Diceros bicornis minor: one gene and its partner. The protein of the gene in region 1 purifies or fractionates together with the protein of each later gene. This does not show direct contact. Links are inferred from orthologs where the notes say so. Each region holds a gene or a part of one and is shown in the gene's direction. Other genes may lie near its edges.

Region 1 (6,995 bases):
TCTGCCTCAAATCCCAGGCAAAGGAAGATCAAGAGAAACAGGGCAGCTTTTCAGCTGCTAAATCGTCTCAGCAACTCTCCCAGGTAAAATTATTCCAGGAGCTTTGGTCTGCCCACAGTTTCCTTCCCTTTGAAGTAGTGCTTCCATTAACAAGAGAGCCTTGCAAAATCAAACACGCAGTGCTCAGACATTTCATAGTCTGTAATGGGGTTCCAGCTGCTTTCGGGTCGAAGTTGCATTTCTAAGCAGACTTAATGTGCTGCCAAGCAGTGGCCTAAGTTTGAATTCAAATGCAATTCTACAAATATGGACTGAGAATTGGAGGCAGGAAGGGTGAGGAAGCCGTTACACTACCAATGAGATGATGGTGCCTTGGACAAGAATGATGGAGACAAGGTGGTGAGAATGGAGAGTCTGGGAATATTTTGAAGGTAGAGCCAACAAAGTGCAGCTGCACTGAACGTGTGGTGTGAGGAAGAGTCAAGTCAGGGGTGGTTCTGAGGGCTTTGGCCTGAGCGACCGAAAGAATGAAGTTGCCGTTAACTAAGATGGGAAAAACCGTGAGAAGAGCAAGGTTGAGGCAGAAAATCGGAAGATCAGTTTGGACATGTTAAGTTTGAGGTGCCCATTAGACATCCGGGTACTCACATGGGCCACTGAGCCCAACTCAGGAGTGCGGTCTGGGTTGGAGATATAAATGTGGGGAGTCAATAGCATATGGATGATATTTAAACCTACTGGACTGGATAAGACACCCAGGGAGTGATGGCAGATAGAGGAGACCAAGCCCAGGGAGAAGGGGCAGTCCACTATTTAGTGATTGGAGAGAGGAAGAGGACTTAAGAAAGGAGGGTGAGGGCCAGCCCCATGGCTTAGTGGTTAAGTGCGCGCACTCCGCTACTGGCGGGCCAGGTTTGGAGCCCAGGCGCATACCACGCACTGCTTCTCTGGCCATGCTGAGGCTGCGTCCAACATACAGCAACTAGAAGGATGTGCAACTATGACATACAACTATCTACTGGGGCTTTGGGGAGAAAAAGGGAAAAAAAATGGAGGAAGATTGGCAATAGATATCAGCTGAGGGCCAGTCTTCCTCACACACACACAAGAAAACCAACAAAGGAGGGTGAGAAAGAGTAGCCAGTGAGGAACGTTCTCTCAGAGCCTTTACTAATCTCTAAGTTAGAGCACACATTCTGGAAGAGGTAGAAAGTCATGAATAAATAAATAAAATATATATTAGATGGTTGTAATCAAAGAATCCAAGTTTCTGGTGACTGAAGCTTACATGAAGAACAAAGAACAGAAAATTACAAAACCAGAACTAGGTAGGAAAGAGAATATTTATTTAGAACAAGGAATCACAACACAAATTGTGGGAGAAATCATGCAATCACAAATTGCAATTTGTCATTTTAAAAAGCTGACAAATAATACAAACATCACAAAATCCAGAAAAGTAACATATTTGTTAATTTTCTTAAACACCTCCATAAGATGTTTTCTATTTTAGGCTGAAAAAAGCAACAGGAAAAGCATGAAAAGCAACAGGATATATTGGAGTGTATGAGGAAACCATTTGGTTTAAAACTAATTCGGGGGCCGGCCCCGTGGCTTAGCGGTTGAGTGCGCGCGCTCCGCTGCTGGCGGCCCGGGTTCGGATCCCAGGCGCGCACCGACGCACCGCTTCTCCGGCCATGCTGAGGCCGTGTCCCACATACAGCAACTAGAAGGATGTGCAGCTATGACATACAACTATCTACTGGGGCTTTGGGGGGAAAAAATAAACAAATAAAATCTTTAAAAAAAAAAAAAAAACTAATTCGGCCTGACCTTGTTTTTCCAAAAGGGCCTGTCATGGCCTCTTGAGCATGCATTGTACATCTACTTTAATCATTTACAATGTCCCAAAGACAAGAATGATGCCCTTAAAGATAGGGATGTATCTTCCCCCATATCATTTCCTTAAGGATAAGCATCTCTTCCTAGAAACAAGAATTACCGACCTGCTGTGCTCACCTTGTGACCACTGACCTGCTGTGCCAGCAAAGCAATCTTGTGACTATTGTAAAAGGGACGTTCCTATCATATGTGATGTATGCTCTTTGTTCCAAGACGGTATATAACCACTCTGTTCACCCCACTTTTGTGTCCTTCCATGCTTGGGGAAGGCAGGCCCTGGGCTACAGTCCTCAAACCCGGCTCATAATAAACTCACCCCAATTTTGATTTATAGATTGATTATGGATTATTTGTGTTGGCAGGCTGACTATGCTTTGGTCGCCTCTTTATATGACCACAATTTCGTATCATAATGAGAATGGAAAGATAATTTAGTCTATCCTCTAGCATGTTCCATCAAAATTTTTTATTAATAATTTAGAAAAACTTCTTCCAGTTTTACAATTCCTTTTTAGTAATGTCATGAATATTTTGAGAATTGTTGTCAAAGTTGGGGACAACCTGTATGAAATTTTTGTCCTATATAACTATAAAATTTCAAGCTTTCTAGTACCCTGATTAACCTTAAATACTCCTTTCATTGAGGACACTCACTGATCACAGGGGATGGCAGGTACAGCTTACACTAGGAAGGCCAGTGATAACAACTATACGTGGAACAGTATCACATAAACATATTCTACTAAACTCAAATGTTCCCAACTGGATTTCCTCTAGCTGGATCCCAAACGCCATTAAACACAAGGGGCAGTATGACCGGGGAAATCGGAGTAGAAAGTGGTTTTAAGCGACTGCAGTAAAAATATTACTTTTGCAAAGTTTACAAAAACATAAGACCATGCAAGCACGTAGCTGGGGGCCCTCCTTGAGCCATGGAAGAACCCCGGGGAATCGAGAGGCCCTAAAGTTTAAGCTTTAGTTCCATGACGGTCTCACCTCTTGGTGATAGTGCAAAGAATGAAGGCAAAGTAAAACGCGGCACAGGGAGCTGGGGCGGGAAGTTGCAACTCGAAACATGTAGGATGCTCTGAGTCGCTGGCATCAGAGTAAACAGCTGAAGGAGGTGACGGAGCCAGCCTTGCGGACATCTGGGAGGTCTGCATTCTACAATCTAGACCAGGTGAGGCGGAGCGTGCCTCGCTTCGGAAAGCTGGGAAGGCTGTGTGACAAGAGGATGCGGGCGATGAGGCCTACAGAGGGAGAGACACAGCCTGGTCACACAGCAAATCAGTGGCTGTGACTAGAATCCAGATTTCCACTGGGTGTTGTGGATGGGCAGATGGCTAAACGAAGGCCCTTGACTCACATACCAGTTTCTGTTGGTTTGTTTTATAACCCTGTCCCTAACTCCAGGACTTCCCAGGACTCGAACCCACGCTACCGCCGGATTCGCAACACGACCCACAGCCTGAGCGCTCCGTGCTTTACCCGTGGGTCGCAGGGCCTCACACCACAGCTGGCCTCATCTTTGCCTGCTCCAACCTTCAAGTCCAAAGTCGGAAGCGCCTTTTCTCAATGCCCTCTCACTGCACGGGACCAAGTCTCAACTTTTACACCCAGGAAGTATAGTCTTTTGAGAGCAGAAAGTTTGAAGACATTTCTCGCCGCAGGCAAACCGCTTACACCTAAATCCAATATCAGGCCCCCACGTCCGAATTTCCCTTCACGCGAGAAGTCGGCCGAGGAAGTTGTCAGCCATCTTTTGTGTGGCATGACTTCTGGCTTCTCTTACTTTGCCCATCCTCTATTACGGCGAACCATGTCATGTCCTTATTTCCGACTTTACGCAAGTACTATAGGGCCACGATCCTTGTAAATTCTCTGTTTGAAGAAGGAAGGAAAATTTAGGTGTTTGTCTTTTCCGCCCTTCCTAACGTGGCTGTCTCAGCTCGCCGGCGGCCCGGAAGGGCTTCCGGTTTCCCGGCAGGCCCGAGCGGGCCTGAACTTCCGGCCTCGCCGCGCGGGGCGGGACGGTCTTTTCGCTCTCTCCCGCGGTGTTCGTGAGCGCCGCAGCCATGTCTTACCCTGCTGATGATTACGAGTCCGAGGTAACCCGACCCTAAGAGTGTGCTGGGCTCCGCGACGGGGGCAGGGCTCTCTGGATGCTGGGCCCCGCGGGCAGGCGGTGTCCGGGCGTCTCCGGGAGCCCCGCGGGCCGACCGGCTCCGGCCCGCCTCCCTGCCTGCGCGGCCCCTATGCTGCTGCCACAGCTCCTGGCTCCTCGTCAGCCCTGTCTCTACCCGCCCACTTCGCAGGGCCGGTCCCTTCGTCCTCTCCTTTCCCAAGACCGGGCACGGAGGCTGGTTATGGGGTTCTGTGTTTCTGTAACTGAGCTCTTCTCATGGTCTGCGCTCGGTCTTGAATCCCGCTGGTTCCCACGGTCTGTCGTGCTTTGCCTTATTGCGCTCCTAACGTTGTGTTGTCATTGTTTTCGCTTTGCTCCCATGCGAGGTCCTCAAAGGCAGGGACTGTGTCTCATCCACTTTTGTATCCTTAGTATCCTGCGTGGCACGTAGGCCCTAGAACGAGCATTTTGGATTCACGAATTGGTGACTGTTCTTGTTTTTGTCTCTTTTCGTTGACAGGCTGCTTATGATCCGTATGCTTACCCGGGCGACTATGATATGCATACAGGTGAGACTACAGGTTGGTCTGGCTAGCTAGGTACGGCAACTTAGGGTTTGGCACCTTTATTAACGTTTTGCAACAGCTCTAACGCACGGCTGTTTAAAACTGCTTCTTGATGGTCCAGCTTTGGCGTCAGTTATTAGCTTTCAGCAGGAGGGTGGTATAGAACCTCATAAACCAGGCCTTTTTCATGGTCCACTTCCAAGTCTCAGAAGGGAGGAATCGCTATCCTGGCTGTGGTTTCTTTGTTTAAACTATTAGCCGAAGAAGAAAATCTTGTTGTGAAAAATTAATGATTCAAACCAAGTCCAAATGGAAGGTTTTTTTTTTTTAAAATAATTTTGTTTATTTTTCCCCCAAAGCCCCAGTAGATAGTTGTATGTCATAGCTGCACATCCTTCTAGTTGCTGTATGTGGGACGCGGCCTCAGCATGGCCAGACAAGTGGTGCGACGGTGCGCGCCCGGGATCCGAACCCGGGCCGCCAGCAGCGGAGCTCGCGCACTTAACCGCTAAGCCACGGGGCCGGCCCCAGATGGAAGGTTTTTGACGTTTCCTGAAATGTCCTAGTGAGTTGGCTTGACTTAGCACTTAGTAAGTGCCATGCATTGTCCCGGTACTTTGCGTGAAGTATTTAATTTAGTCCTTACAAAAGTTTTATAAAGTACGTAAATTAGTGTGGTGTCCGTTTTAGAGATGAGAAAACTGAGCACAGAGAAGTTTAGTAACTTGCATCGTGCCATAGAGGTAGAAAACGGCAATCATTCATTCATTCAAAAAATATTAAGTACCTACTAACCCCCCCTTACTACAGTCTTCCTCTCTCCTCCAACACACGTGTTAATTGTTCTAGGTTCTGAGGGTGCCCCTGGGTACAAGACAGACAAGCTTCTTGCCCTCATAGACTTTAGATTCTAGTGGGGAAACAGATAATAAGTAAATAAATAACTAAGTAGTGGTTAATGTTCTGAAGAAACAAAGTGATGGGATTGAGAGTGACCTAGGAGGATTGTATCCCTTGAGTGTTTAAAAGGGAATTATATCGATTTTATAGAGTTTGGTTTGGGGGATGGGATTGTCCTTTTGTTATGTCATATATATGGGTTTGAAAGCACTTTTGTAAAGTGTTGATTATATCCAACCTCTAGGAGATCCAAAGCAGGATTTAGCCTACGAACGGCAGTATGAACAGCAAACCTACCAGGTGATCCCCGAAGTGATCAAAAACTTCATCCAGTATTTCCACAAGACCGTCTCGGATTTGATTGACCAGAAGGTGTATGAGCTGCAGGCCAGCCGTGTCTCCAGTGATGTCATTGACCAGAAAGTGTATGAGATCCAGGACATCTATGAAAACAGGTACTGGCTGCTGGCTGAAATGACCTCTTTCTGAGTGGGACTGGCTTGGTGATGCTGCCCCTAAAAAGGGGTGATGGTTAATCATTTTTCTGTAAAGAGAGTGTCCAAGGGGTTTCTGTGATTCCTTGGGGCTAGGGACATGTTATTTTGTTGGTCTGTGTATCCCCATAACTTGTACAAGGCCTAAAATAATGTCAGTGTCAATCATTATAATAGCAATTAGTGTGTATAATCGGTATATATCAGGCAGTGTTCAGCATGCTTTTCCTGTATTTACTTATTTACCTTTCACAGTAACCCCAAGAAGTAGGTACAGTAGTTCACCCTCATCCACGGTTTCATTTTTTTGTGGTTTCAGTTACCCACAGTCAATCGCGGTCCGAGAATATTAAATGGAAAAATTCCAGAAATAAACGCTTCATAAGTTTTAAATTGCGGGCCATTCTGAGGAGCTTGATGAAATATGCTGTCCCTCCTGCGACATGAATCGTCCCTTTGTCCAGCATATCCATATTGTATATGCTACCCGCCTGTTAATTACTGAGTAGCTTCCTCAGTTGTCAGATCCACTGTCACAGTATTATAATACTTGTATTCAAGTAACCTTTGTTTTACTTAATAATGGCCCCAAAGTGCAAGAGTAGTGATGCTGACAATTCAGATATGCCAAAGAAGCCGTAAAGGGCTTCCTTTAAGTGAAAACGTGAAAGTTTCTTGACTTAAGAAAGAGCACGTATACTGAAGTTGCTAAAATCTGCAGTAACTTTTATTACAGTATATTATTATAGTTGTTCTATTTTATTATTGTTGTCGTTAGTCTCTTACTGTGCCTAATTTATAAATCAAACTTTATCATAGGTATGTATGTATAGGAAAAAAAGTAATATACATAGAGTTGGTACTGTCTACAGTTTCAGGCATCCACTGGGGGTCTTGGAACATATCCCCCTGCGGATAAGGGGGGCCTACTATACTATCGTTCCCCTGATTTTACAGATGAGGAAACAGTGCACAGAAAGGATAAGTCATATAGCTAGTTAAGTGGAT
Region 2 (7,708 bases), on another chromosome or scaffold:
TGCTACATGCTCGTCAGGGGTTGGCTGGGACCCCTATTTAACGTCTCCTCCCTCCAGAATGCAGGCTAATTCTCAAATATTGCTGGTCACCAAAGTAGAGGGAATGAAACCTTTGGAGGTCCCCAAGCTGTAATTAAATGCTTAGCTCAGAAATGGCAACTCATTGGCCAGAATTTGTCTCATGGCCCAACCCAACCAGCCATGTCCCTCAGGGGAAGCCAACTGGAAATATTCGGTGAACCGCAGTAATGACTACCACAACCTTTGTGAAAGTCCTAGGACTGAATCTTTAGGCTGTGTGCCTGTTCCCAAGGAAAACCTCAGACCTAAGGGAGCAGCTGGAAAAATCAAGGTCTATGCACACTGCTGTACCTGTCTAAGCATAGGAAGTACCTGCAGGGGCTCCTGGGTCAGCAGGAACAGTCTGAACCACGTGCTTCAGGCCTCTCTGATCCCCTGGGCTCACATGTCTCATGTTCACCAGCCTCCCCAGGCTCCTTCTGGGTGAGCTGCAGACGCTCAACGACCACCCCACCTTGGATTTTTCTAGGAGGGTGAAAGAGGTGAGGGTGGCAGTGGTAATAGACCAGAGGGAAGTGACGAATTCTTGGGACCATAGTTCATCACACTACATAGAATAATCGGTTAAGATTTGTACTATCTGTAAACCTATCAGGCCCTGTAGGGTATCAGGCCTGTAGGGGAGACAAGAGGACTAAGATAGAGCCCCTGCTCTCAGGAAACTTATGATCTATGAGGTGAGTTAGGACACTACTACCTTGTGTTATGATTTTTCCCTGAGTGCCAAATGAATGGTACCAATATTAAAAGTTATGAGCTTGGCCAAGGCAGAATTCACGGCAGGGTTGATTGGGCTACAAAGGCTTGGTGGAAGAATTAGGGCATGAGCTGGTCTGGGAAAGATGTGGGGCTTTAGGTGGGTTAGAGGAGGGGACAGAACATGAAGAAAGGCACAGAAGTGGAGATTCTCATGCCAGCTTACAGCACATATCTGGACAGACTGAGCCAAAAAATTGGAAATGGAGGGAAAGGCTATGGGAGGTCTCGAATACCAATCCAAGTGGGGTTTGTTTTTGTTCTTTTTGCAAACAGAGTCTGGAGAGCTACCTACCAGGGATGCTTGTCTTAGGTGGAAGTTTGGGCAAATCATAATTGCCCAAACTTGACTGTGCATCAGAGCCCCACCCCCATCCCTACCCTCAATCCCTATTAGGAGCTTGTTAAAAACAGACTTCTTTTAAAAAAGTTTTCCCCACAGTCCTCAGGGCCCATCCCTAGAGATTTTGATTCAGTAGATCTGGGATGGGATCCAGAAAACTATATCTTTCACAAGCTTCCGCAGAGACTCTGATGGAGCTGGTCTGAGAATCTGCCGGGATAGGTAATTTCTACCTAGAAATGGCCCTGGCATATACCAAAAGTTGAATTTTTTTCAATCACGTTTCCTGAAAACTAGCTCCTATTTCTGATCACTCTATTTCTGTTGCAGATGCACGCTGTTTCCATTCAGACTCAGGACCTCTCCTGGAATCCGTTTTCACATACGCTGCACATGCGGTTGGTTGCTGCCTCTTACTGCATATCCTTTCAGCTCTCTCCGTTCTGTTCCTTCCTTTCTGTCCCCCTCCTGCTACACTTGGTCGGACCTTTCCTCACCTCATGCTGGGACTCTGGCAGTAGCCTCCTGACTGATCTCTTATCCCTCTCCATCCCTCCCACACATGGCCCTCAGATAAGTCTCCCTATCGGCACCATGACTGGCTTACACACACACACACTTTCTTCCCAGTGGTGTGCAAGGCAGTTTACCAGTCTTGGGGAACACAAAGATGAGCAAGTCACGGCCCTTGCCCAGAGGAGTACCCAGCGCAAACAGCCAGAGTAGGCGATAAGGGCTTGTATTGGAAGAGGCTCACGAAATTTAAAGGTTTCTCATGTCCACCACTCCCTTTGGAGGAAAGTAATCCACACAGTTCTCTCCACAAAAAGTTGCTGATGGTTTGTGCCAAGTGCACAGAGGCACCTAACAGTGCTATTCTGGCCTCCAACCACCTCTGGCAGCCTTGGCTTCCAACTCTGCTCAAAAGGGGCACTGCCTGTTGGATGTAAGAACCGACCCAAACAGCTCCTCTCTCCTGGGAAGAATTCATTCGAGGGACACGCAGATGGTCACATAAGCCCAGGGTGTGCGCTGCTCACATCCTCCATGAGGCATGAAATACATCCCATCATGGAAGCACTAGGACCCCAAGGAGCCATATCACCATGGAGACAACACCTCTGCTTCCTTGAACAGGAAGAAGCCCCCTTCTCCAGGGTAACCCAGGAGCTGGCCCACACAAGGAGTCATGAGAAGATAAGCGAGTTGTCATGCAGAGTCACCACCAAACAGGCCACAATGAGAGTGGAGCAGTGGTCTTCAGTTGGGTCCAGTGTCAAAGCAAACTGGTGGTGAAAGGAAGGTAAGACCCAGGAAATTTACAGGATAGCCTAGGCCAACTTCCTCATTGTACATATGAGTAAGGAGAGCCCTGAGAGGCTGGCTGACTTGCCCAAGGACCTCAACCAGTTAGTGGTAGAACTTTCAGGACTCCGACCCCCGGTTCCTCCCACAATACTCCCAGTGTATATGTGCCAACCTACACAAGGCCTAAATATGTTCTGATGGCTTTTTTTTTTAATCAAAGACTTTACCATTAAGCTAATGAAGCTTAAGCTTCAGAGTGCCTCCCTTGCACCAACTCTGTACCTACTTTTAAATTTTTAATTTTGTGAAGTATTTTTCTTAATAATATTCCCCAAATTATAGAAGGTTTAGGTCCACAAAACAGAGATCCACCCTGGCAGAGGAGATGTGTTATTTGGGAAAGGAAGGATTCATGTAGGAGAAGAGCTAGAGGGAAAAAACAGGAAAAGGACCTCGGGGCAGATTCCGGAACATTCTGCTGTAGTGAGTGGGCCGATGTTACTCTCTCAGGGATTTACTCCAAAAGGCAAAAGGATGCCAGGGGCTCCAAGCTGGAAATCCCTACCCCCTCCCATTTTAGGGACAATCCCTGAGAGCTGGTGGGCACCAGAAATGAGGTGAAGAAAGAAATGAGGAAAAGAAAATGAGGTGAAGGGAACAGACCTCTCCAACCAGTTTGAGTAAAGTCTCCCCTCTTCCACTCCTGGGGAGATTCCACTTTATACACAAAGAAGAATGCATCCAGGACGACCCCTGGTTGAACGTTCAGCCCAGGCTGACAGAGAAAACAAAGGGCACCTCAGGACCCCGGCTGCTAGACCCCAAGCCCAGGAGTCTGGGGCACCGGGGACGTAGGTTCCTCCTCTTTGGAAAAGAGTCCCACCTAGCAGAGGAAATTCTGGAAGGAAATGCATCTTTGTGACCACATGGGGGCCTCCTTCCCTCCGCCAGCTCCAGTTCGCCTCTTAAGGAGTTTTTTCAATTTATTTATTGATTTTTTTCTCTCTTTCTCATTTAAAAATACTATTCTTGTTATTATACAGTATTATTATTGTTATTACAAAATTTAAAAATTTGTAAAAAGTTAGAAAATGTGGAAAGATGGCCCGTGGTCTCACCGTTAAAGAAAACTACTTAAGACTATATGCTTCCAAACTTGTCTTTATATATATAGATTCATCTTAAAAATAAAAATGGGATCTGGACAGGCTTCTCTTAAAATATCATGAACGTCTTCCGCTACCGGTTCTTCACAAAATAATTTTAAATGATGGTATTGTGTTCCATCGTTCATTCCACTAAAATATGCTTTATAAGTAATGAACACGTCATAGAAAGTTCTAAGTGGCTGCCCACCAGCATTTACCGAACTATATTCCTATTGTTAGAAGAATTTTTTCCATTTCAAACCAAAGGTAGACGTGAGCTACAGCTGTTCAAAGAAGTACTCAACACATACGAAGCGCATATCGCCTGGCAGGCCCTGAAGCAGCAGAGGCGACGTGGCGGTGCCCTCGGGGAGAAGGCGCAGGTCTCCTGGGGCTCGCAGGGGGAGCGGCTGCCGTCGCCGCGGTCACTTGGGGGGGCCGGTCGGTCCCTGGAGCGGGGAGATTCTTTTTGGTAACCGAGTCCCTCCGGCCGCGGGGGGGTCCAAAGCCGGAGGCGCTCGCGAGGCGCGGCCCGAGGCAGGTCGGGCACCGGGTCCGGGCGGTGACTCAGCGCGCGCCCGGCCGTGGGCCGGTGGGCTGTTGGGTCGGGGGTCGGGGGATCGGGGGTCAGGGGGTCGCGGTCAGGTGGGTCGGGGTGTTGGGGTTAGGTGGGCCACGGTTCGGGGGGTCGGGGGATCAGGTGGGCCAGGGGTCAGGGGGTCTGGGGGTCGGGGTCAGGTGGACAGGTGTCCCGGGGGGTCGGGGGTTCGCGGTCAGGGGGTCTTGAGCAGGTGAGCAGGTGGGCCGGGGGATCAGGGGGTCGGGGGTCGGGGGGTAGGGGTCAGGGGGTCTTGAGAAGGTGAGCAGGTGGGCCGGTGGGCCGGTGGGTCCGGCGGCGGGGCGGGGCGGGGCGGGCGCGGCGCCTGCCGTTCGCCTCTCCGGGCTGCAGGTGGGGCTGTGCGGCCGCGCTGCCTCCAGGAAGCCTCACGGGCCTGCGCCGGCTCCCAGGATGCAGTGTGGACCGGCCGGGCGCTGACGGCGGCGGCGCGTCTGCGGGCGGAGCGGCGCGGGCCGGCCAGCGAGGAGCGCGGCGCCGCGGGCGGGGAAGGCAGGGCCGGGCGGGCGCGCCTGCGGAGAGGCCGGGGGCCGGCCTGCGTGGGGCCGTGCGGCGGCGGCGGCGGCGGCGACTTCCTCCGGCCGGGCCGGACAGCGCAGGGCCATGGCCGAGGCGGCCGCGGCTCCGGTAAGGCGGCCCGCGCACGGACGCGCGGACTCGGGCCCGGGGCCAGCGCACGGCGCCGCAGGCCCTGAGGAGGGGCTCCGGGGCCGGGCCGGGCCGCCGGGCCTGGGGCTCCGGCGAGCGGGGCGCGGGGTCCGCCGGGGCCTACGGCGCCCGCCCGCCGGCCCGGCCCCCCGTTCCGGGCCGAGCCTGAGCGGGGCGGAACCGGCCGTCCCCGCGCCGGAGGCCGCCCCACGCCGAGTTCCTGCAGCCCTCCGCGGCTTCCTGCCCCCGCCCCATCCGCCGGCCCCTTAGTCCCCGCGCCCCCCACCCCGCGGCTCCTTTCTCTGCCCACCGCTCTGCCCTGCGTCCCCTACCCCCCAGCTCCCCCCAGCGGCCTGCTGGCACCTGGGAGGTGTCCTGAGCGGCTTCGATTCCGCCGACACCGAGTACCCGGGGTGCCCAGCTCGCTCAGCTGCTCCCGTTCGTAGAAGCGGGCACGGCGCCGGCCCCGTTAGGCATTATTTTGTCCTCACAACAAACCTGTGGGGTAGGTACTCCTTCTCTGTCGTACAAAAGAAAGCCTGAGGCCTAGAGAAGTTCACTTGCCCGGATCGCAGAGCTAGAGAGTCTGTGAAGAGAGAGGCGCGCTGTGTTCAGGGCACATTGTGTTGAGGGGAGCAGACAGGTACCCTGGAAATAATAACGCAAAACAGAAAGAGGTGAGGGCTTCTTGCCTGGAGGAGGAAACAGGCTGTGGAGTGCGGGGCAGGGAGGGAAGGGGCCGGCCTGCGCTGCCGCGCGCCCTTCCTGCCCCGTGCTCCTGTGGTTTGAGCTGCGCTTTTAGGGAAGGCTAGGATTTCTTCAGGCTGAGCTGGACCCGTGGAGCTTTTCAGGTAGGGAGGACGGCTTGGGCACAGAGAGACAGGCAGTGTGGGGCATGTTCAAGGGTAGGAAAGGAGTTGTACGCCTGGAAAAGATGGTTTTGGTAGGGGCCAGTGAGAGAGGAGGCTGCAGGGAGACCTGGAAGGGGTTTCAGTGCCTGGACTTCATCCTAAGGGTGGGGAGCCCTTGAAGGATTTGGAGTTCTCTCGCCATCAGCTCCCGTTAGAGTTCCCGCTTTCCTGGCTGGGGTCTGAGGACAGCCCCATATTGTCTACCCAGCATCTAGTAAGGAGCTGGGCTGGAGCAGAAACAGTTGTCACCTCCCACCAACTGGTGTGAAGGCCTCACGTGGGACTCCCTGCCCTGTTAAAATGGTAAGAAAACTGCACATGCCTTGTTTATAAGGGAGGAGTTTATGCAGATGCCCTTGTCCTGCAACGCAAAGACTGTAGTCAACACAGCCGGCTGCAGTTGGAGGGGGAGCTGGGCATGAAGTGCAAGGACACCTCTGGAGCAAACCCATGGAGGCTGGGGTCGTATAGCAGGGATTGATCAGAGAGGAGGAGAGAGGGAAAGGGAAGGAACGGTGGCTGTTGTGGAGGGCAACCTCACACACCCAGTGCTGAGCCACCCAAGGTGCCCGCCCAGTGCAGTCCCTGCAGCCTTGGGGCAGGACCACCTACCTCTGGAGAGCAAGAGTCCCCCCCATCCACTTGTGCCCTCAAACGGGTCTCTGCCCATCCAGCTCCTCCCCATCCTCTGAAACCCAGCTAAGCCCTTGCTTCTTCAGGTCAGAGGTCATCTGGTCCAGCCTCCCTCCAAACAATCACAGAATTGCTGATGCTCCATCCTTGACAGTTTTTTTTGGCCTCTGCTCAAACTCTCCTTCTGGCGCTATTTTCTGACGTGTCCACTCATGTTCTGGTTCTCTGTGGCTTTCTCTAAATGAATCCACACTGGTTCCTACTAGTCACTTCTCTATTTTGCAAATAAGTCGCCAACCTTTTGTTTAGGAATAATTTCTAGCATGTTGTAAGGAACCATCAATCCTCAGGCACTGCCAGAAGAAGGCACAAATGGCAAGACCTCCTCTTGGACCCCTGGGTCCACCCTTCAGCTGTGGGTGAAGTGGGTCCAGCCCCCACCCAAAGCAGAAAGTGCCCTTTCCTCAGTGTCCCCAGCTGCCCCAATACAAGCTACTGTGTGAACTTTGCGGCGACAGGGAAGTCACGGCGTGGGGAAGCTCCGTGTCTTTATGATGGTTGTCACACATTTAAAAGCCTTGCCCTATGGCACATGTCTTACCTTCCTCACCAGTCTGCAAGGTGTGTCACTGATCCGGGGCAGCTACAAAGATGTCTGAGACCTACTTCTCCCCTTGGGAGGGGTGGGAACAGTGAGAGAAAAATTCAGAATCTCGGGGGGCTCAGGGGACTAGTGTTGTATCAAAAAGTCTCTTGGTTGGTGGGGATTTGCAGTAATGGTGGTTTTTAGTTTGGGCGTAGGCAGTTGGAGAGGGGACAAATCAGATTGTCCTGAGGGAGAGGAATTACCCATTAAGTTTTTATGTTTATCAAAAAGAGACACGAGATGCTTTAAAAAAAAAAAAAAGAAATTGAGCAACGCTCTTGTTTGTGCCGTTTCAGTGAACCAGCTGTTTTTTTTGCTAGGTCATCATCAGTAGACAGTTCCTGTGCGATTATGATGGGAGGTGCCGGCTGGGCTCTAGTCAATCTGCAGTTTACTGTTTCTCCACTAAAACGCCCCAGCAGTGCTCAGTCACTGTTTGTTTAGCAGAATTGCACCGAGTGCCTACCATGGGCCCTGCACTGTGCTGTGAAAAGACGCAGTGCTGCCTTCGGAGAGCTGGTCAAGGCTGTGGGGGGTTACTGTGTAGGGCGGTCAGTGCCATGCTTGGAGTCTGCACGGTGTGCTGCAGAGGCCTAGAGGGGAGACATCCACCCAGAC

What was found.
Region 2: the proteins of EIF3L (region 1) and ZNF746 purify together in Homo sapiens (affinity purification with mass spectrometry; 3 studies listed by BioGRID and IntAct, counting the BioPlex papers as one, with this or other methods). This does not show direct contact. The link is inferred for Diceros bicornis minor from reciprocal best matches to the Homo sapiens genes EIF3L and ZNF746.

Annotation. Positions count from the first base shown.
Region 1 is NC_080764.1:11,926,046-11,933,040, reverse strand, and holds the start of EIF3L (eukaryotic translation initiation factor 3 subunit L), read left to right. Parts: upstream 1-3,907; 5' UTR 3,908-3,977; coding exon 3,978-4,010; intron 4,011-4,547; coding exon 4,548-4,596; intron 4,597-5,737; coding exon 5,738-5,948; intron 5,949-6,995. UniProt on the Homo sapiens protein: Component of the eukaryotic translation initiation factor 3 (eIF-3) complex, which is required for several steps in the initiation of protein synthesis.
Region 2 is NC_080742.1:95,598,713-95,606,420, reverse strand, and holds the start of ZNF746 (zinc finger protein 746), read left to right. Parts: upstream 1-4,655; 5' UTR 4,656-4,855; coding exon 4,856-4,879; intron 4,880-4,973; exon of another isoform or gene 4,974-6,111; coding exon of another isoform or gene 6,112-6,114; intron 6,115-7,708.